Arabidopsis thaliana: one gene and its partners. The protein of the gene in region 1 interacts with the protein of each later gene in a pairwise test. Each region holds a gene or a part of one and is shown in the gene's direction. Other genes may lie near its edges. The genes, in order: ATB BETA, RUXF and AT5G11090.

Evidence for each region.
Region 2: the proteins of ATB BETA (region 1) and RUXF interact in a two-hybrid assay, tested with the Arabidopsis thaliana proteins (one large-scale study listed by BioGRID).
Region 3: the proteins of ATB BETA (region 1) and AT5G11090 interact in a two-hybrid assay, tested with the Arabidopsis thaliana proteins (one large-scale study listed by BioGRID).

Annotation. Positions count from the first base shown.
Region 1 is NC_003070.9:6,090,430-6,100,030, reverse strand, and holds ATB BETA (Protein phosphatase 2A, regulatory subunit PR55), read left to right. Parts: upstream 1-1,591; 5' UTR 1,592-1,965; coding exon 1,966-2,071; intron 2,072-2,901; coding exon 2,902-3,005; intron 3,006-3,087; coding exon 3,088-3,183; intron 3,184-3,270; coding exon 3,271-3,390; intron 3,391-3,641; coding exon 3,642-3,818; intron 3,819-4,107; coding exon 4,108-4,199; intron 4,200-4,468; coding exon 4,469-4,587; intron 4,588-4,735; coding exon 4,736-4,859; intron 4,860-5,045; coding exon 5,046-5,169; intron 5,170-5,275; coding exon 5,276-5,344; intron 5,345-5,425; coding exon 5,426-5,517; intron 5,518-5,615; coding exon 5,616-5,693; intron 5,694-5,795; coding exon 5,796-5,863; intron 5,864-5,945; coding exon 5,946-6,082; 3' UTR 6,083-6,823; downstream 6,824-9,601. Other genes in the region: VPS46.1 (vacuolar protein sorting 46.1), read right to left, coding at 1-164, 497-821; PEPC1 (Pyridoxal phosphate phosphatase-related protein), read left to right, coding at 8,056-8,202, 8,327-8,448, 8,521-8,722, 8,900-9,268. UniProt on the Arabidopsis thaliana protein: The B regulatory subunit may modulate substrate selectivity and catalytic activity, and may also direct the localization of the catalytic enzyme to a particular subcellular compartment.
Region 2 is NC_003075.7:14,801,568-14,807,477, reverse strand, and holds RUXF (small nuclear ribonucleoprotein F), read left to right. Parts: upstream 1-3,119; 5' UTR 3,120-3,218; coding exon 3,219-3,224; intron 3,225-3,580; coding exon 3,581-3,692; intron 3,693-3,770; coding exon 3,771-3,808; intron 3,809-3,995; coding exon 3,996-4,060; intron 4,061-4,308; coding exon 4,309-4,378; 3' UTR 4,379-4,518; downstream 4,519-5,910. Other genes in the region: AT4G30230 (uncharacterized protein), read right to left, coding at 320-1,102. UniProt on the Arabidopsis thaliana protein: Probable common Sm protein, is found in U1 and U2 snRNPs and may be part of the spliceosome.
Region 3 is NC_003076.8:3,521,636-3,527,559, forward strand, and holds AT5G11090 (serine-rich protein-like protein), read left to right. Parts: upstream 1-3,041; 5' UTR 3,042-3,160; coding exon 3,161-3,814; 3' UTR 3,815-4,211; downstream 4,212-5,924.

The DNA of each region.
Region 1 (9,601 bases):
GTAATCATCTGCTACTTGCTGCATCAAGCTGTTGACTTCTCCTTCTGGAGTCGACAATGAAGTAGAGCCAGCCATTGCATTATCCATGAACTCAGCTTGGACTTCCATGTTCACAAACTGTTTCTCAAACGAATCCATCGTCTCAGACATCTTCTGTAAGTTGCCTGTTGCAAAGAACAAACCAGAAAATGATAACACGAGTTGCTACAGCACAACGTATAAGAGTATTATAAGCCCTATCTTCTTCTCCCTCTATACTACACTTACCAAAAGGAGAGAAATGCAACAAAAATTCATCACAGATCACAGAACATCCATGACGGTGAGAGAGAGCTATTCTAATATTTCATCAAACCAAACCCTAATGCATGATTCCATATCCTTCAATCAGCAAAAACAACAACAAGGAGCAGAATTTTTCAATCTATACTATAATGCTATGAGCACCAACAAAACCAAATTGATTAGATTGCTGAAAAGTGAGAATGTGAAATACCAGTGGTAAGAGACGATTCGAGGGATTTGACAATGTTGGTCATCGATTTGGTGATGGTAGCCATCTTAGCCTGGGTATCGAGTCGAGCAACAACAGCGTCCAATCGAGAAGAGAGACGAAGGTAGTTCATCTGCTCGCTGCGTTTGCGAATGGCGTTCTCGGCATAGATCCGAGCACCATCCATGTTACCTTTCTCAATGGCTTTCTTTACCTTGAGCTTCTCCGATCTCTCCTCTTTTTCGCACTTCCTAGCTTGCCTCTGCAGAGACTTTGACGTAAATTTCAATTCAAAGATCTGGTTCATCAGCTTATCTGTATTACCCATCTCCTCGATCAGTTAATCGGGATTCGCTTGTTTGATCAATCGGAATCGGAAAAAATTAGGGTTCTTTCGAATTTGGGGAAAGATATCTCAAGCGTGTTTCTTCCGCAGAAAGAGAGGTTTTAACTTTTAAACGAGGAGGCTTCCTAACATTATGTCCTAAATCGAATTGCACTGACTGGTTCTATTATTCGGTTATATCCGGTTTAAGTTTTAATCTTTTAATCCGTCACTGAGTCTGAGTGGTTAGTAGTTATAAAAAAAAAACACTCCTTTGACTTATTCGTTTCAGTTTTGATTATTCACCATCCAAATACATTTGGTATAAACTATAGTAATACTTTTTAAATTCATTTGATTTGTACTGGTTTCAATCGTTTTTCTTTTTTTCTACCGCTTGGGTATTCTCATGAGTTAATTTTGACCCCTGAAAGAAACTTGTAATTTTTCTCAAGTAAGATATGATAATATCAGATTAGAAAAAACAAATGTGCAATGGAATTCTATTTAGGATAATTTGGCAAAAATAATTATTTAGTACTTACTAATGATAATTATACATTTTCCCCCATCACACAACACAACAGTGGAAAGCGCAGCACCTCCACAACTGACCAATGATAGGCGAAAACATATGTCACTGTCCACCGATATGTAGTGGTCAAATAAATAATGTCACCGACTGTAACGCTAAGGATACTTTGGAATCAGGACAAAAACATTATAGTATTAGACATATTAACTTATACGGATTTGTTCCTTCGTTTTGGTCTCGAAGGAAAAAAAAAAGAAAAAAGTTATAATTCCACTTTTGTCCTTTTAGAGAGAGAAAAAGGCCAAGGCGTTTTTCTTCTCTCGTTCCTCCATTTTCTACAGAGAGATATATCAAAAATTCCATTTTCTACAGAGAGAGAGAGAGAGAGAGAGAGAGAGAGAGGGACGAAATATTAATCATCGATCAAGTTGCTTCAATCGCGAAAAAATCCATGAATAAAACTATGGAATGGAATGTGAATCAAAGGATTTGGTTATGGTGATGACGCGATCTTCGATTCGATTCGGTGATTAAAAGATTTGGAAGCTCAGATCTCAAGCTCGGATTTCTAATTTTTGTTGGATTATCTAACCCAAAAGCCAAAAAAAAAAAATGAACGGTGGTGACGATGCCGCTACTAGTGGTCCTCCTCCGTCTTTAGAGTGGAGATTCTCTCAGGTCTTCGGTGAGCGAACCGCCGGAGAAGAAGTTCAGGAAGGTAATTATTGCCTACGTGTGTTATAAATTGTGAGATATATTCGGAGTTTAGCTCTTCTTTTTTCTTTTAGATCCGGAGTGTATTTGAGGACTAAGGGTTTGATTTGTTGTTTGGATCTGATTAGTGAGTTATTCCTCTACTACTTAGTGGGTCATTGATGAATCTCTGTGGCTTTTATTGCACTGTTAGTAGAGTTTCTAAGTTCTATGACAAGTTTGGATTGTTGTGTATTATGTGATATTAGAGCATCTCTATTTAGCTGATTGTTGCGAGGTTGTAACTCTCATTTTTGTACAAGTTTCAGCTGTACTGCTGTAAATTTGAATCATTTGATACGCTGATGATAGTTTTAAGTTGAGATTAAGAGGGTAATCTAGCTTCAAGGTTTTGTCTGTTCAATGCCATAAGCCATGTATACTTTTTTCCACTGGTACAATGGTGTCTCGACTCTGTTTAACAGCAAGAAAGGCATATGAAGCGATGAGGGATTGGGTTGTCGAGGGACAAGTGTGAAGGGTTATCATTGGTCATGCATTTTGGGTTCATGAATTGAATTTGTAATATTGAGTTGGTCTATAGCTGCTCTCTTCTGGCTGATAAGACTTCCCGGAGTATTGATGTAACTAGGTTGCCTTCAGAGGCACTTTCCGTATTAGATAAATTTAATCTGCTCTCATGTTATTGGATGTAATCTTCTTTACCGGTTTACATACTCTATGTTATGGAGAATAATATACTAGCTGCACCTCAAGGTTATTATGTGTTTAGCTCCTACAATTTAGTGGTGACTTCTGATGTAATGATTCTGTTTGCACACATTTCTTCCGCAGTTGACATCATTTCAGCCATCGAATTTGATAAAAGTGGAGACCATCTCGCAACTGGTGACCGTGGGGGCCGAGTAGTTCTTTTTGAAAGGACAGATACTAAAGATGTGAGTTCCTTTTTCTTCTGCAAGATTTGTTTCGAAAAAATGTTATGTGCTGTAACGCACTCTTGCAAAATGTTACTTTCAGCATGGAGGGTCCAGGAAGGATCTTGAGCAGACGGATTACCCAGTTAGGCATCCTGAGTTTCGATATAAAACAGAATTTCAGAGTCATGAACCAGAGGTACATTAAAACTTATCACCAGATTTCACTTACGAGTAATTGTGTTCCTTGAGCTACTCAATAAGCTTGCTTTTCAATCTGTTTCAGTTTGACTATCTCAAGAGTTTGGAGATAGAGGAGAAAATCAACAAAATCAGATGGTGTCAGCCAGCTAATGGTGCATTGTTTCTGCTTTCTACAAACGATAAAACCATCAAATATTGGAAGGTGTGACATCTGGATGGATTTTTATATCACATGTCTGCAAAATATAGGCCACTTATAGCAATTCCTTTCTGTGTAACTCGGTTCCATAATCTTGTTTCATATGCTTTATAGTGTAGAAATATTAGGTGTCACGTGTGAAAACTGTCTAGAAACTGGTTTCTTTTGCTTCCAAGACTCAATTCAAAATAAGAGAAATAGTTTGTTTCTTTACTCTTATAATTTGACTCCTCCTCTTATTTGGAATCAAACAGGTACAAGAGAAGAAGATCAAGAAAATTAGTGAAATGAATATTGATCCGTCAGAAAGTTCAAATATCCCTCCTCAATTAGTTACTAATGGATTACCTGCTGATAAAGGGCATGACTACCTGAGCAAGGACTTTTCTTTCCCGCCAGGAGGCATTCCATCTCTGCGTTTGCCTGTGGTAGTTGTACTCGACGCAACTTTTTTTTACTTTTTGTTTGGGTGTCAAATGAAGTGAGTTTTAATTTCAGGATTCTGAAAAGTAAATGCGTATAGATATTAAGCCTGTTTTTTACTGGAAGTTGTGGATATTTTCTTCATGTTGATGATCCAGCTACTTGAGTTATGAAATGTAGGGAATTTACTATTGGCCTTGTTTCCTTTTGTCGTAACTAAAGCTCAGTACCAAATTAGTCTAATGCACTAGTCAATTTGTGTTCTACTTGAACTTATGGGTGTTTCTGCATATATAGGTTACCAGCCAGGAGACTAACCTTGTGGCTAGATGCCGAAGAGTGTATGCCCATGCTCATGATTACCATATTAATTCAATCTCCAATAGCAGGTAATCGTTTTCCTAAGTTTTCCCTCAGGTTATATGTTTTACTCTTGATATCTCTTTAACACGTTTTTGCTGTCTTTCTCCTTAATTTTTCCATCTCAGGAAACAATGCTAATATCTAAAAAATCCTTAGAATTTTATTTTGCATGTCTTTCCATGTCTGGTCGTGCTATTATTCTCTTTGTCGAAAATCTTGTTGATCCTAAATTTCACAACTTGTATTGCATTGTTTTGTTCCTTGTGGTAATGAATCGTTCCCTTAATTGTTACAGTGACGGAGAAACCTTTATTTCGGCTGATGATCTGCGAGTAAATCTCTGGAATTTGGAAATTAGCAACCAGAGTTTCAATATTGTTGATGTTAAGCCCACAAACATGGAGGACTTAACTGGTATGCTACTTCTCCTATTTTGTTAGATGTTACTTTGTATGGTCTTACCATTGATTCATATGTCAACAACCTCCTTACTTTTATTATCTATTTTTTTCACGTTTACTGCTTGTCGAGCATGCTTCTAAATGCTACATGGTCTGTGCAGAGGTTATTACATCAGCTGAGTTTCATCCTATCCATTGTAATATGCTCGCATATAGTAGTTCAAAAGGCTCCATTCGTTTGATTGATATGCGTCAATCAGCTCTGTGTGATTCTCATACGAAATTGTAAGTTCTGTTCTCATCATCCTTTATCGGAAATGGTAGTTGCATGTTTCAATATATACTTAAGAAGGGGATATGAATACGTGGGTTCATTTCCAATTTTTCTCTTTTCTTGTCAGAAATGACTTGGAAATGAAGATTAATAGGCTAAAGTTTCTGACCACTGACCATTGTTGCTTCATATCACAGATTTGAAGAACCGGAAGCACCTGGTTCAAGATCATTTTTCACAGAGATAATTGCCTCAATTTCAGATATTAAATTCTCAAAGGATGGGAGATACATACTTAGTCGCGATTACATGACGCTCAAGGTTGGAAATCATTCGGTTCCCTTTGTGTATATTTTTCTGATTGTGGGCCAATAGAGGTCTATTCTTTAGTTCTTTCTGATATCTTTTACCCTTTTTGACGTTTCAGCTGTGGGACATAAACATGGATTCTGGTCCGGTCGCATCTTACCAGGTTCATGAACATCTGAGACCCAGGGTGAGAGCTTCTTTCTGTGGCATCTTTTATTTGTTGATTCTGTGTTGAAAGCTAACCACGTTATGTTTTACCCGGTTGCAGCTATGCGATCTATATGAAAATGACTCCATCTTTGATAAATTTGAGTGTTGTCTGAGTGGCGATGGATTGAGGGTAGCAACAGGTTCTTACAGGTTGACTTGCTTGTCTTCTGGTCATTGCTGTACTTTTCTGTCTTGTATAAGGAATAAACTAATGACCAATTTATTATACTTAATCTCCGGTGAACCAGCAATCTATTCCGCGTATTTGGAGCGTCTCAAGGAAGTACTGAAGCTGCGACTTTGGAAGCTAGCAAAAACCCGATGAGGTAAATCAGAAAACAGAGAACATTGATAGTTAACCTTATTAAGTCATTGAAGTTTGTATTGATCAATTGTTGCAAAACTTTCGCATCAATGGTATATATTAGGAGGCAAATCCAGACACCTGCAAGACCATCCAGATCTATAGGCAGTATGACACGCGTGGTTAGACGAGGTTAGTGGTCATAGTACCTGTAAAACTTATTCAAGCTTTTACTACTCTCTTCTGGAGTAAAAAACTTTTGTTTTGGACGCAGGATCAGAGAGTCCCGGAACAGAGGCAAATGGGAACGCCTACGATTTCACAACAAAGTTGCTGCATATGGCTTGGCACCCAACAGAGAACTCAATTGCTTGTGCAGCAGCAAACAGCTTGTACATGTACTATGCATGAGTTGGGAAGAGAGAGAGAAGACATAAACATGGAATCAGCTTGCTCCAATTTAACTTTCCCTTTCTTCTTTTCCCGGGTCTCTCTCTCACTCTCTTTCTCTCTTTCTTTTAACAACCAAAGTCATGATGTAACCAGAAAAGGTGTAGTAGTAACAGAGTAATGCTGTGACCAAGACCAAAGCCTGACCAGTCACCGCGACGAGTCAACGGAAGAAGCAGCAACAGTAATCTTTCAGGAGTTAGTAAGGTAAAAAGTGTTGGGTTGGGAAAGAAAACAAGAAGAGGCCTTTTGTTTACCTGAAGAAGGGTAATGTCTTAAATATCCGAACCACCCCTCCTACTTAGGTTGTCTTTTTTTTGGGTTGCTGCACTAAGGATAAATTTTATTTTATTTTTTTAGTATCGATTCTATTACCTTTTTTTTTTCAATTAAGAAACAAATTATGGTGTGTGGGATTTTTTAGTATGAGACGATTGGGAGGGATGTGCTTCAAAATTTGTTTATTGATTCTTTTGTCATATCTTCTTCTTCTTCTTGAACACCACATCCATTCTGTTTTTTTGCTATTTGTCTATTTTTCAATTGTATTTTCAGACACCTCTTTTGTGTTTTTTACTTTTACCCACAATAAAAAGTAGCTTTCTCCTCCATTCCTCGTAGATTCTATTGTAAGCAAATAAAATTATCTTTGACTACTGATTGTAATACTTTAAAGGATGCGATGAATTGAATATATGTATCCTTACCTCAAGAAGAGTGTCGAGGGCAACATTAATATTACGTAACTTAATTTGATTTCTGCTAAGAAAAATGAAATGTTTGCCAATTGAGGTAGTGGATGCAGTGAAATGTAGTTTTTTCGTGGTGCCACAAGATTTACAACTAGATATAAAATATTATGTTCCTTGTTCTATATCACAATCTAAAGACACGAGGAAGAGAAATAAAAGAAGCTTGTTTTGATGCGTCTCTTCTGATAATGTCTGATAGAAGTATATTATTTTATAGATAGAGGATTACACACACACACACACATTTGTTTTGTTGTCATGCTAAGACTTGTTTGGTTAGAATACTTTTAATTGTTATTGAAGAAATCAAATACAGATGAATATTGAAAGATGTGGCTACCAAATGAAAAGATGATGTGATCCTTAACCCCTAGAATATTCTTTCTGCTTACAATTGTGATTTGTCACTCAATATTCCTTCCAAGTTGCAACCTTATTCCTTCCTAGTGCCTTCTGATGCAATTCCCATATATTTCGATAAATTTCATGTTTTTAAGTTTAAATCCAATCGAGTATGAATGTTGTGGTTTTTACAATTAACTTTATCGATCAAATGTGTGACATAAAGCAACTATCCCATGCACATTTATTTATTTTTCATCCCATGATAAATCAAAACTTATTCATACGATAAACACCAATATATTCATTTTGCATTTTTTACTTTTTTTGGGTTGCGTATTAAAAGAAAAATAAACCTTTTTGGGTAACGGATTTTATTTTCCTTTAATAAAAATGAAAATAATGACGAAAACGCATAAATAGGTGGAATATTCTTTTTTTTTATCTTATTCCATTCCGGTGTCTTCTCAAATCTCAACTGCCTAAATCCCACTAAATAAAACTTTTAACAAGCCAAACTAAATAATACCCACAAAATAAACCAAAGAGTCATCAACACCGTTGGATCAGTATACCTAGTCAATGTTTGACACATAAACGTCATCAGATCTAACGGTTCAAAAGATACGAATCATATCAGATTAGGATTCTTAATTATCTATCTTACCTTGCGTTTGACGGTAAGTAATATTCCAATGGCATCTTCCTCGAAAGATCCCTATTCGTCTCTAGCCTTTTCACCTTCTCTCACTCGTATATATATCACATTCTTCTTCTCCAAATTCCATAATCATACAGAAATCGATAAAACAGTACCTATAAAACATTGTATCTGATAGAATGGCTAAGAATAACAACATCGTGATCGTCTTCGATTTTGACAAGACAATCATCGATGTAGACAGCGATAATTGGGTCGTGGATGAACTTGGTTTCACTGATTTGTTCAACCAGCTTCTCCCAACAATGCCTTGGAACTCTCTCATGGTTTGTTTTGTTCATCCATCTCTAACTCTTCTCTGTTTCGGTTTCTCTAGGGCTTTGTTACGTTGGTCTATATATGTTCATCAGTCATAACACTAAATCCTTATTTGGTTTTATTTCAAAACAGAATCGGATGATGAAGGAGCTTCATGATCATGGTAAAACCATTGAAGAAATCAAACAAGTCCTTAGGAGAATCCCAATTCATCCACGTGTCATCCCAGCCATCAAATCTGCTCATGCTTTAGGGTAAAAATCCATGTTAAATTCCTCATTCTTCGTTTGATAACACGGTACTGAATCATACGACATAATATTTAGGTGCGAGCTGAGAATAGTGAGCGACGCAAACACGTTGTTCATCGAAACAATCATTGAACATCTCGGGATTGGTGAGTTTTTCTCCGAGATTAACACAAATCCAGGACTTGTAGATGAACAAGGAAGATTAATAGTCTCTCCTTACCATGACTTCACCAAATCTTCTCATGGTTGCTCTCGTTGCCCTCCTAACATGTGCAAGGTACTGCAGTTACACTAATCTCATATTGATTGATTAGTTCAAAAGATAAGATTTGTCATTACTATTTTCAGGGATTTTGGGAAACTTTTTGGTGTAAAATATATTATCTTTGATTCTGTTATGAGTCAATATGGACCTATCTGTGTGCTAAATTAATACTAAATTTTGTTTATACAGGGTTTAATAATCGATAGGATTCAAGCTTCTCTAACGAAAGAAGGGAAGACGAGCAAGATGATCTATCTTGGAGATGGTGCTGGTGATTACTGTCCCAGTCTTGGACTCAAAGCTGAAGATTACATGATGCCAAGGAAGAATTTCCCGGTTTGGGATTTGATTAGTCAAAATCCCATGTTGGTTAAGGCTACCGTTAGAGATTGGACCGATGGAGAAGATATGGAGAGGATACTAATGGAAATAATCAACGAAATTATGTCATCAGAGGAAGGAGAGGAGAATGACAAGATGTTGAGCTCTGAAAACTGCAAGATATCTGTTGGGATTGTTCATGAACCTATTCAAGTTCCTTTAAATTTGGTCAAGTGATTGATGAAAACAAGAAATTGAAGATTTTTGTTTTGTATTCGAGATATTCTTCATGCAATTATGTAAGATGTCTAAAGATGAATGGTTCATGCACGTTAAGTGATTTCTTTTTTTTGTATACGTAATTAAGGGATCTCCTTCGGAGGAGCGTCTAGCTACCACGGAAGCTTAATGGGCTCATTTTTCGTATCACTTCTTTAATTAAGTCTCTTGTTCTTCGATAATGAATAATAGCATAATATTACTCTAGTGATCCATCCAATTATAAAGAGAATGTAAAGGATGGTATAAGTTAAGCATGTAAACCCATTCCGCATTGGATTAACCTGTTTG
Region 2 (5,910 bases), on another chromosome or scaffold:
GTGCTTCTTTTGATCATCATTCATTCCTCACCTAACCAATTCAATTTCAAAAACAATTTTATTAAAATATATATTGAAATATTCTAAATGAGCTGAAATACAAAATAACGAAAAAATCAAAGAAAAAGAAAAAGGTGTGAATAAGATGTGTTATGGTCCAAACTATTATCGATTCACCAAATAAATTACAATTTCGACATTCTTTCACAAAATAAATTAACAATATCGATATTTCTTATACTAAATGACGATCCTATCCTTCTTAATCAACGGCAGAGCAAGTAACCGCGCACAATGTTCGTAGGAATAATATAGTAATTTATGGATGAGGAACCCAAAACGGCGCCGTAGCAGCCACGCTTGTGGGCTTCTTGCAACTTAAAGCGTTGAGAAACCTCCAAGAAGGTGACGGTGATGGCGACCGAGATCCACGAGCTCTCCTGTTAGCAGGAGATGGAAACATAACCGGTGGAATATTCCGGCGAATCTGACGGCTCTTTATATCCTTGAGTTCGATCTCCGGCGGAAACTTAACCATTCCAAACATGATCACATACCATCTTGGCCTTACACTTTTTACACTTCCCGAAGACGTTGTTTCAGGCTTCCCCGTGTTTTTAGTCGATGAACTATTTTCCGGTGGAGAATGTACGGTGGTTAGACCACGTGAAAGCTTACGATAATCTAAAGAGCGGCTTGCCCTCATAGGTCCCGCATTGTCACGACGTGCCACGGTACAACTACCGGGACGGTTAAGCTTATGGCCTTGTATCGCGGATAAGGACTCAGACCGTGAACGGATTCGACGGCTAATGTGCTCAGGAGGTGAAAAGAAAGCATTTTGGTAGTTTAAAGGGATGAGTTTCCCGCCAAAGATTATATTTTCTGCCGGAGCTACGTCGTAGGAGGATGAGGTTAGAAACTCAAAAAGTTCCGTTGACGGTTCTTTGTGGTCTTCGGTGGTGGTGGGATTAGGATTCTTGGCTTTGAGGGGAAGATCTCGGAGAGATAGTGCGTCTTCTTTTTCTTCTTCTAGGTGATGTTGAAATGGTTTTGGGAGTTTAGTAGGGTTTTGGAGATTAGTGTTTTTTGTAGTTTCCATGTTTTTTAGGGAGAGAGAGAGAGAAGACAATGAAGATATTGAAAGTATTAATTTTTGTCACCATATATATACATGGTCTCTAGAGGGGTCAAATACTTTTACAGAACTTAAAGTGGAAACTATTTTGTTTTACGGGTTAGAATTCTTTAGGTGTATTTATATACATGCATATATTTGTAGATTGTTGACCATCCGAAGTTTCCGTTTGCCAAATTTCTCATGATTTAATTATTTCAGGTCGATATATGACATATTATGTTGGTAATAACAATAATACAATTTTAATGACAAGAAAGATAGCAAATCTTACTTATTATTTATTATTTAACCACACAAAGTGTCTATTAATATTAACTAACTCTAGTTTTCATATATAGTTTTAACGACAAGAAAGATAAGACAAGTAACTCTAGTCTTCATATATAGCATTGATCATTTATTCATGAATCTTTCCGATTTTTCAGCTTAGAAAATTTAGTTATTCAAAAGCATGGTCAAGAATGATAGAGATAGAATTATTCAAACACAAATTAATAATGTTTGAAAATTTGAGATTTACATTTCTTCATGATGTAAAACTTTGATTGAAATGCCTATATTTTTTAAATTCTTTGTCAAAGACTATATGTTTATACATATGTACATAAATGTACCACGATCACACAAATTTGCATAGATTTGTACACCCAACCGGTAAAATAAAAAGACTGTGCAAAAAGCTAACTGATGGTATTGTATAAAATATAGATTCGACATGTCACCACTTCTATATAAATATATATAAGAATTAGCGAAACACAATCTAAAAATGTTTAGACAATTTTCTTTAGGTATATTTTCGAAGGAGCAAGTTTACACACAAACAAACTGTATGAAGCATATTGATTGTGAAAAAAGATAGTCGAGACTAATTCAGAAGAAGACTAAGACATTGTGACAAAAGTATAAAAAATAAGTGCTGAGGTATGAATTGTTGCGCGTAACTGAGGTCAGCTGAGAAAATGACTTTCGCCTGGCTGCTAACATTTCGTTTCGGACCTTTCGGTTATTACAAACATTAAAACGATGATTATAATTATATTCTAGACTATAGTTTTTGATATTTTCAACTATCCAATTATAGTTTAGGTATATTAAATCGAGGAAGTGGAAGTGTAGTGATTAAAGAAACTCAATTGTTAGAGAAAAAAAAACTAAAGGAATTAGAGCCACAATTACAAACTATCCACTTTGTTTTTTCGTTTTCAACGTACATCAACTTACGCTGCAAGGCACAAGTCATAAGTAGGTTATTCATATACATTGCTTGACTACAAAGTTTGATTTGTTTTCCCTTTTTATAACAATTTCATATGGTGCGATGTTACTATTTTGCCTTTAAACGCAAAAAAGTAAGATGATTCACATCTATAGCAGTTCACTTCAAATGTTTTTTTGTTCAAAAAATAAAAATCATGATGTAGATAACCTTTTCTATTAGCATGCTGATTTTATAAGCGTTTTCTTTATCATAGTAAACATATAATGACGTGAAAAAAAAAGTAAACATATAATGACTTGTAAAAAAAATAAAAATGAAAAGACCTCAAAAATGAAAAATACTTTGCACTAGATGATGGATGACCTCAACAGATGAGTGGTTCACGTTCACCTAATTCTTTGGTCATATATGTGATGCCAATCGTTTTAGTTTTGATGTAATAATTATAGAATTCTAATGGAATTATATATAATCTAAACTAATAATTGGATGGTCAAAGAGTAGAAAGCCGGCTAATTGTTTTAAAGGCAAGCTGACAAAATTTGATCATTGTGTAAAGATGAATGCAATATAATGGACTTTTGTTCTCGAGAAACCATTCTTCTTGCCGGTTTTATGTCATTAGGTTGGAATGCATGTCGTTTTTGTCATGTATTATTTGTTTTCACTTTTATGGAGATTTCACAAAGCAAGCCAGTTGAACCAATAATGGGCCTTATGAGATATTTTCGCAGGCCCATTATCTTCTGTACAGCAACGAATAAACCCAGCCAAAAACCCTAAATCGAGAGAAACCACAAGCGTATCGATATTTGTTCTCCCAGATCTTCGTTTCGTCTCTTCGTTCTCAAACTCATGGCGGTAAGTTTCGATTTTTTCGTCTTCTGATTCTAAGTTCGAGCTTAGATTAGTTAATTCCTTTCTTTATTGAGCTCAAAATTAGAATTTTATCTGTTAAGTAGTTTTAGGGATTGCGAAATTCGATGGCCTGAGCTCTTCTTTCAGCTCCAATCTCGTCGATTTATCTGATTACAAGTAAAAGATTGGAGTATCTGCGAATCTGAATCTGATTCGAAATTGTTATATATATGTCGTTAACGAGTATAATAGTCCACTACATAAAAATTGCATTCGAGAATTCGTTGGAAAATGCACAATGTGTTTATCTTCAAATGTGATGCTTTTGAGTTCATTCCATTAGTATTTGATGAACCAAGTTTGTATGTATGTGTGTTTTGCAGACTATTCCGGTTAACCCGAAACCATTCTTGAACAACTTGACCGGCAAGACTGTTATCGTCAAGCTTAAATGGGGAATGGAATACAAAGGTATATTTTTCTTCAAAATGCTTTTGATGATAAGTATCCAGAGCTTATATAGCTAACAGTCTTCCTTCTACTTCACAGGTTTTCTCGCCTCTGTTGACTCCTACATGAACTTGCAGGTGCGTTATTTCCTGAATTACAAAGTTAGATAAGATAGCTTTTTGATTAAACAGAGAGATTGATGTTATTTTGTCCAAAACCACCTGCTAAATGTTCCTTGTGCATACAAGTTTAGAGGCAATGCTGATAATCTGTACAGATACATAGATTGTTATGCATTGACATTTTCCATATTGTTTTTGTCAGCTGGGAAACACCGAAGAATATATTGATGGACAATTGACAGGGAACCTTGGAGAGATCTTGATCAGGTAATAATATTACTTCATTGTCTCTACTTATTTTCTCCTTGTGATTCAGTTTATGTTTCCAACTATATGATTCACAGTGAAGTGTCATTACTTGATAAAACTTAAGAATTAGACTTGGCGGCCATTATTAGCACACATTTATCATTTTCTCTCTGATAGTAGTGGATTCATTGACTAACTATCAGGTTTGTAATTGCTTCGAAATTTTCGGATCCATTGAATTAATTTGCTGACTTTTGTGTACATAGGTGCAACAATGTTTTGTATGTCCGTGGTGTGCCAGAAGATGAAGAGCTTGAAGACGCTGATCAAGACTAACCTGTATTGAGTACTTAGAAATTGCAAGTCTGTGTGTTTTAATTTTTGTATTCTGTGAGCACTTTAATCTTAGTGTGATGTTGTTGAATCTTAAGAGTTTGTTGATCATATTCATACCTTAAAAAACTAACAAGCCCTTTTTCTTATGAGAAACCATTCTTCTTGCCGGTTCTTAGTCAATTCTTTTTTTAACCATTTTTATTGGGCCTAAATTTATAGCCCATCAAGTGGTAGCAAGTAGCAACATTGAGATTCTTTTGTTTACCAAATTTAAGCCATAAGTATGTACCCGCAAAATAAAAGAATTCGAGAGATTTCACTCTTTTTAAAAATAATTTTCAAACATAATATAATGTACCAAGCAATTACCAAACATAATATATCGTTCCAAGCAATCAGTTTTCAGATTAATCGGATCAATCATGCGTCCTAGCTTAAATGATAAATAATATTATTTAGTCTAACTTATTAGTATGTATGCTATATTGATTAATGATTAGCGTATTCCAGAAAAATAAGTTTTTTGCTGAAATTGTTTTAAAATAGGATATAAAGACAACCATGTACTTAATCGGGAATAAGTTAACCATGTACTTAATCGGGCTTTATGCATTGGGTCTATGATTAAGAAGTTGGACTACTAATGGGCTGTAATAGTCCTATATTGGCCCTTCTCAGAAATCTTACTAATGAGTCCGCAAACTACAATCAGCGCTACTAAATTTACATCCAGCCCATGAAGTGGTAGCAATATTGGGACAACCTTTGCGGTAATGGAGATGACAATTTGAATATACTTCTTCTTAGTCTTAACTCATCAATTGAAAAACTAACAAAAATAGTTCTACGGTAAAATTCGAGTCTAGTTATTTGAAAAGGCCAAGATAAGAAAAATAGTTTGAGTTCAAACCTTAATAAAAAAAATCAGTAGACTTACGGTTTGTTGATAAAAAAAATACGGTTAAAAGTTAATATAGTGACCTTAAGTCAATATTCCTTATTTATTTTGTTCTGCTATGACGTTGACAAAACATGTGAAATACTGAGAAATCAATTATTCAATCATGTGACATCATTTACACTACCATGTCAACTTGATTTTTATTTACATTTGACACCGATCATCTTTAGTTATTTTCCATGTTGACAAATAAAAAGTACAACATACTATGTAGCTTTACAATTTAAAGGTACTGAAGAATCAATTTTAAAAGAAAATTACTAAGTTTGTCCCTGGAAGATGGAACAAGTAATACAAAATATACCAGATTAAACCATCACTAGATTTGATGAATAAAATCAACAAAATAATGATAAAACATGCAGTACCATGTCAATTTAAAGTCGACGATCGGTTCCTATTAAACTAGACGGGGTATATTGTCGTTTATGCAATCGTATTCACTTCTAGTTAACGAATACAAATTTATGAGGTCGAGAGAAGAAACACACAACACAAAAGTAGTTGAAAGAGGAAAGAAACATGTTGTTGTTGTTGTTGTTGGAAAGTTTTCTGTCCACCTACTTATTTT
Region 3 (5,924 bases), on another chromosome or scaffold:
GATGTCGAAATGAAGAAGAAAAAATGGCAAATCAGCATAATATCATAATTATTGAAATCTGTACATTATAATATTGGATGCTAGTACAACATCATTGCTACAACCACTTTAATAAAATGAAAATATCAGAGAGAGAAATAAAGCATCATATCCTTTGTAATATGATTCTCAAACTCGAGTCAAATTAAATATTCCTTACAATTTACTATTTACCAATTACTATACTCCATAGGCATCGAGCCCTCTCTATTCAGTTTTACATTCTCGAAGCACCTTTTTATATCGTGCATGAGATATCGGACATATAATGAAGAAGATTGTAACACGCTTTATACTCGCCAAAAAAGATATCAACTTAACAAATGCTGATAAAAATAGATACAGAAGATTACTCTTGATCTATTTTTTTGTGTGAAATTACTCTTATGATCTTATCGCCACTAGAGTAAAAGAGTTTCCTTGTAAAAAAAGATTTGGAACAAATATTTGTTTTCACCGAATAATTTTTTTATCGGATGTCCCCGAAGGGACTTTCACCAAATAAAGGTGAGTCCAGATGATTACTAGTGGACTTTTGGATTGTAATAAGAACGAATAATCACATGACCACGACCAGGCCATGACCATGACCATGTTAAATAAATCCAACTTCCACTCTAAATCCAGTGTCAGACATTGGATCACCAGTTAAACACTTTTGGCTCTTGGATTGTTATGATGCTAGTAGAAGCCTGGACACGTGTGACATAAATCTATACGTGTCGTAGTAATGTGGACGTGGTGGTGTGAGTGTTGTAGCCTATTGCTTTATCACATTGTGTGTCCCGACCATACAAAAATAACTGTTTTGTCCCTAACTTACCCAACACGACCTCCATGTGCCCCGCATCATTGTGATCTACTACTATTTTCAATTATATTTATTGCCTAGATTCGTCTAAATCAACTGTTTACAATCGTCGTACCCACCTAATCATATACTAATGTCTAATATTAGTTTTACTTTCTTTTAGTTTTTATCAGGTATAATACTATTTTAGTGGTATTAACGTTTGATAGGTGCTACTAAGAATTAATTACACACAAAATATGGATTCTGTCAAGACCAATTTAGACAAAATGTGAAACGAGTAGATCAGACCTTATTAATAATCTCAATCATAATTCTCTCTTAAATATTTAATCAAATTAGACAAAATATAGGTCGTTTCTGACCGTCAAACGTTTAATATCTGTAGAAACCGTGTTTAAAGGTTTAGTTGGTAAGAACTCTCTGAAATGTATCCATCAAATTCTTAAAATTGATATTCTGCACCAAAACTATTACTGGCAATAATCTGTCTAAGCATATTTTGTATTTTGCGGTTAAGGACGCATTGGAATAAGACATATATTATTACTATGGTTGAGTTCATCACCAAATTCCTTCTGCAGAGAAGCTGTTATACCTTTAAGATAGCATATAAATGTTCTAATACATCAGAATAGTGTTCGAGTCAGTAGTTCCATCAATTTGTAGGGACTCTTTAGGTCTAATATGAAACACAGTTGCATGGATCTCCTCCACCGTAACAACTTTATACCAAATGCTAGATTCGTTGTTGTTGTTACATTGCTTTTAAGCCCATTCAAGAGTTTGGCTAACTCACCAGTAGGTTTAAGGTGAAAAGTTGTTGAAATATGTTAAGTGTTACGTGTTGAGTAACTCTTGACTAATTATGATCATAATACGAAATTCTTAAAGTGTTACGAATTAACGATTGGCATTGCCTTCCAAAAAACTAGCTATATCAAGTCCTCTCTCTTTGGCCCTTTTTTATTTGGTAGTGAGCTGTTATTTCTTCTTCTAGCATTAAACCATCTTGAAAGGAAACAAACCAGCAAACGTAGGTACTTTTAATGATGGTGTCAGTTAGATCATAGATGTAACTTTATATGTTACCTTCATGTTATAAGATTTCTATATTGATGTTGTTGGGTATTAGCAACTAGTATTGATGAACCCAAAAAAAAAAAAAACTAATTTTGATATTTATTATAAAAAAATAATAATTAGTAATTAATATTTGATGTTAAGAGACTATATACGTAGACCAAAGGCATGTTTCAGACAAAAAAAAAACAAGAACAATAGAGTGCTAAATTTGATCAATGTAAGCTTTTAATATCTACTACAAAATCTAAAATTACTAAAAGTCATAAATCTTCAAATTGCTATTAAATTTATTTTATAAACCAAATTTAATTATTTAAAATATGTTTATAAAACTATTCAAAGTCTACCAAATAAATATGACACAAATCTTCAAATTGCTATTAAAATTATTTTATAAACCCAATATAAAGTCATATTTATTTGGTAGACTTTTGAATGGTTTGACATATGTGATTTTAGCTCACTAATTTATTAGTATTGAACTCTCTTACATTTATTAAAACTATTTTATGTTGGCAAAAATGTTTTACTCTAGAATACACTATACATAAGACTGATTTATTCGAAGCCTTCTTTAGATAGCCTAAATTTACACAAATGTTGTTAGATGCTAAACTTTTGTATAATCTTATTAATCTGAATCAATACCGTTACAGAACCATTGGGTTGTGACGATAAAACAAACAAAATAAAACCATTGGAAATGTAAATCCGGCTCTTGGCAAAACAACGGGCAATGGCAATTTACGTAATTATCTAAACTTTCTCTGGGTACTCTCCTACTTAAGAGCTGACATCTTTCTTAGTCATGACACGTGGCAGCTTTTTTAACTGCCCCCAAAAGCATTCCCTCTGATTTGTCATCTCAGCCGTTGGATCCGAACCCGATTCTTTTCGAAACGGCAAAACCGCCTCAAATTGAAAAACAAATTAGTAATTTATTTTGCTAACCATAGTTAAGTTTCATTAACCATGGTTAAATTTGACTAACCCGACATAGAAATACCTAAATTTCGAAAATGGTCAAAGTCTTTGAACGTATTTACATTTATTGCCATTGAACAAGCTTTTGCTATAAATTCGGTTCCTGAGACTCGCTAGGTTTGCCGAACCAACCTCCCTTAGGCACTTTCTACAGAGCAGCTAATCAAAAAAAAAAAAAAAAAACCTTGTTCTTCTCTTCTTCTTCCTCTCTCACAAATTTGACTTTCATAGAAGAAAAAAATGGTGACTACATCGTCACGAACCAAGTCAAACGGACCGGTGCTTCGTTCACAATCACCGTCAGGTCGATTTTGCGGTGGTTACTCAAGAGCCGTTCCGTCATCTTCTTCATCAGCTTTCGCTTCATCAACGAGTTCTAGCTTTTCATCTCCGTCGTCAGCTTTTTTCAGCAATCACCGTCATCACGAGAGCAATCACAGTCACCACCGATCTGCGTCACCGACTCGTGTGAATCTCTACACAGCGCAACCGATGTCTCAGTCGTTTCGTTACTCTCTCGATAGCAGATCTATATCTCCGACTAACAAATCGATCTCCGTTTCGAAGAATCAGCCACCGAGCCATAATCACAAGATCTCAAGGAGATGTATGTGTTCTCCGACGACGCATCCAGGATCTTTCAGATGCAGTCTACATAAGAACGTAGCGAATCCACATGGTCAAGGTACAGCTTCGTATACAACGAATGGATTGAATATGCGTCGATCTGCGATGACTAATTCGCTGGTGAGAATTGGTGGTGTTGAAGGAGAGTGGGTGAGAAGAGCTTTGACTACTTTGATTCGACCTTCTTCGCATCATCTGAAAAGACGAGCTGCTTATCAGCCACGTCCTAGTCGACTCTCAATCATGGCGAAAGCTGATGAGAATTGATTTTGATCTGGATTTTGGTTAATTCAGGTTTGTTTTGTTTGTTGTTCTTCTCTCTTTAAACGAAAACCACCACAGGATTTAGTAGATCCGGCGAAGAAGTCTTGTTATGAAGCTGAGGTCTGCGAAGAAGAATCATCCTCGAGAAATCGAGATTTTGTAAAAGGAAGAAACACACACCTATCATAATTTTTTTGTTGTTGGGTGAAAGAAGATGCTAGAATGCATTGTACATACGTTCTCTTTTTTACTGTTTTTGTTGCTCTCTCTTGCGTCTTTGTCGAACCCCAAAAAAAAAAAAATGTTCGGAGTCTCACCAAAAATTAGAGACCTAAAATCGAAAATCAAAGAACTGAATCTAATTTCTGTATTGAACAAAGTGAGATTTCTCATTCCTCACAATCAATTGTGTATGTGTTTGTCAGATTAGCGTTTTTTTTTTCGTGTCCCGTCAAGTCAACGTTCGTGTACTCCGTTGACCGGCGTTGTTTGCCATTATCCGTCGTCGTTTCTACCGTGAAGCGTTGCGTTAGTTTTCCAGGTATGCGTTATTCGTCGTGTCAGGTATGTTCCATTCGTTTTTTTTTTTTTTCCGTTTTATGTTACTTACATTTTTTTGTAGTTATATTTTCGTGGACATTTTGAATTTTGTTTTTGTTTTGCAGGTTGCGTTTGGTGATGGAGTTTGAACTACTTGACTAACAGGGACATGAAAATTCAGATGGAATTGAGAGAAAAACAAAATAAATTAGTAGAAAAATACATTAAAAACAAAAACAAAAGAGGTGGAAAAGGTCTTCACTTTCTGGACATATATAAAAAAACAACGAAAAATCTATGGAGGGAAAAACATGACTGAAGACAAAATTTACATAGGAGGGAAATGGAAAAAAAGTGTTTTGGTAAAAGAGATAGCTGACTGACCCAATTAGAAAAATGACTGAACATATGGAATATATTAGGGAGCAGATGGAAAAGAATACATATGAATATATTATTAATGGAATTGGGAATCTTTTGGATTCATGAAGGAGTAAAACTTGGAATGTTTGAAAGAAGAAAAGAGGAAGGCTATGAATGTGGAAAGACACGTCTTACTGATCTGGAAGATTTTGTTATATTCGATCATATTCCTCTGCGTCCATGATATACTTTTTAAAAATAATTTATAATTAATTCAAGAAATCTTCTTTGAATTTATTAAACAAAGTTTGATGTTTTAAGTTTAAAAAAATGAAACTCATCGAAAAGCTAAAACTGCGTAAACTTGACGATGAATGATGATGCCCCACATTGTAATATGTTGTACGTGGATTAGTTTAGGTTTATTTGTAGAATTTAAAAGGGTTTTCTATTGTCAGAACTTAGAAGAAGTCGGCTAGTGATGAATAGAATGTGTTGGCGACCACAAAGGTTGGACCGGACTTGTGATCTTTTCTGATTGACGTATCCCCTCGGGTTTGATCGGTTTAACTTCATTCCGCTTTGGTATGTTCCTACAACCAACTGATACTAACCGAGTGAAACACTATTGACTATAGTTTTGCAAACTGTTGTTTCTTCTTCTGTTTAGCGGCTCTCGAAAAGGGAAGAAGTGGAAAATGGCTCTTGTGACCAATAGTTTCCAATGTCATACTCATACAGTCATACATGTTTCGTTATGAGTCGTCTCCACCTCAAGTACTTGAAATTATTGTAAATTTAAGAATGGTAGTTGAAAAACTTAATGATTTTCCACCTATTCAATATCAGCATGACATCATTGGTCGACTAATATTTTTGTAAAAATTCTAGCAATAAATTGTACCTAAAGAATAAGAGGAATAAATGGTGAAATAGAGGGATCGTCCAATTTATAAAGAGGAAAAAGTGGAATGAAAGATGGGATACACGTCTTCCTTACCTGGAAGAGTATATGCCACCATCATATTGTTACATTATTGTTTTATTATATCACTTAGATATTTCTTTTATACCTTTTCATAGTTATGGTTCAATTCATAGTGATATCATATGAGGTCGGCGACTACTTGCCTAAAAGGAAAAATATTAAGAAGAGATATACATGGAATATTATATTCGCAATTATTATCACTATTTTTTGCAAAACGTA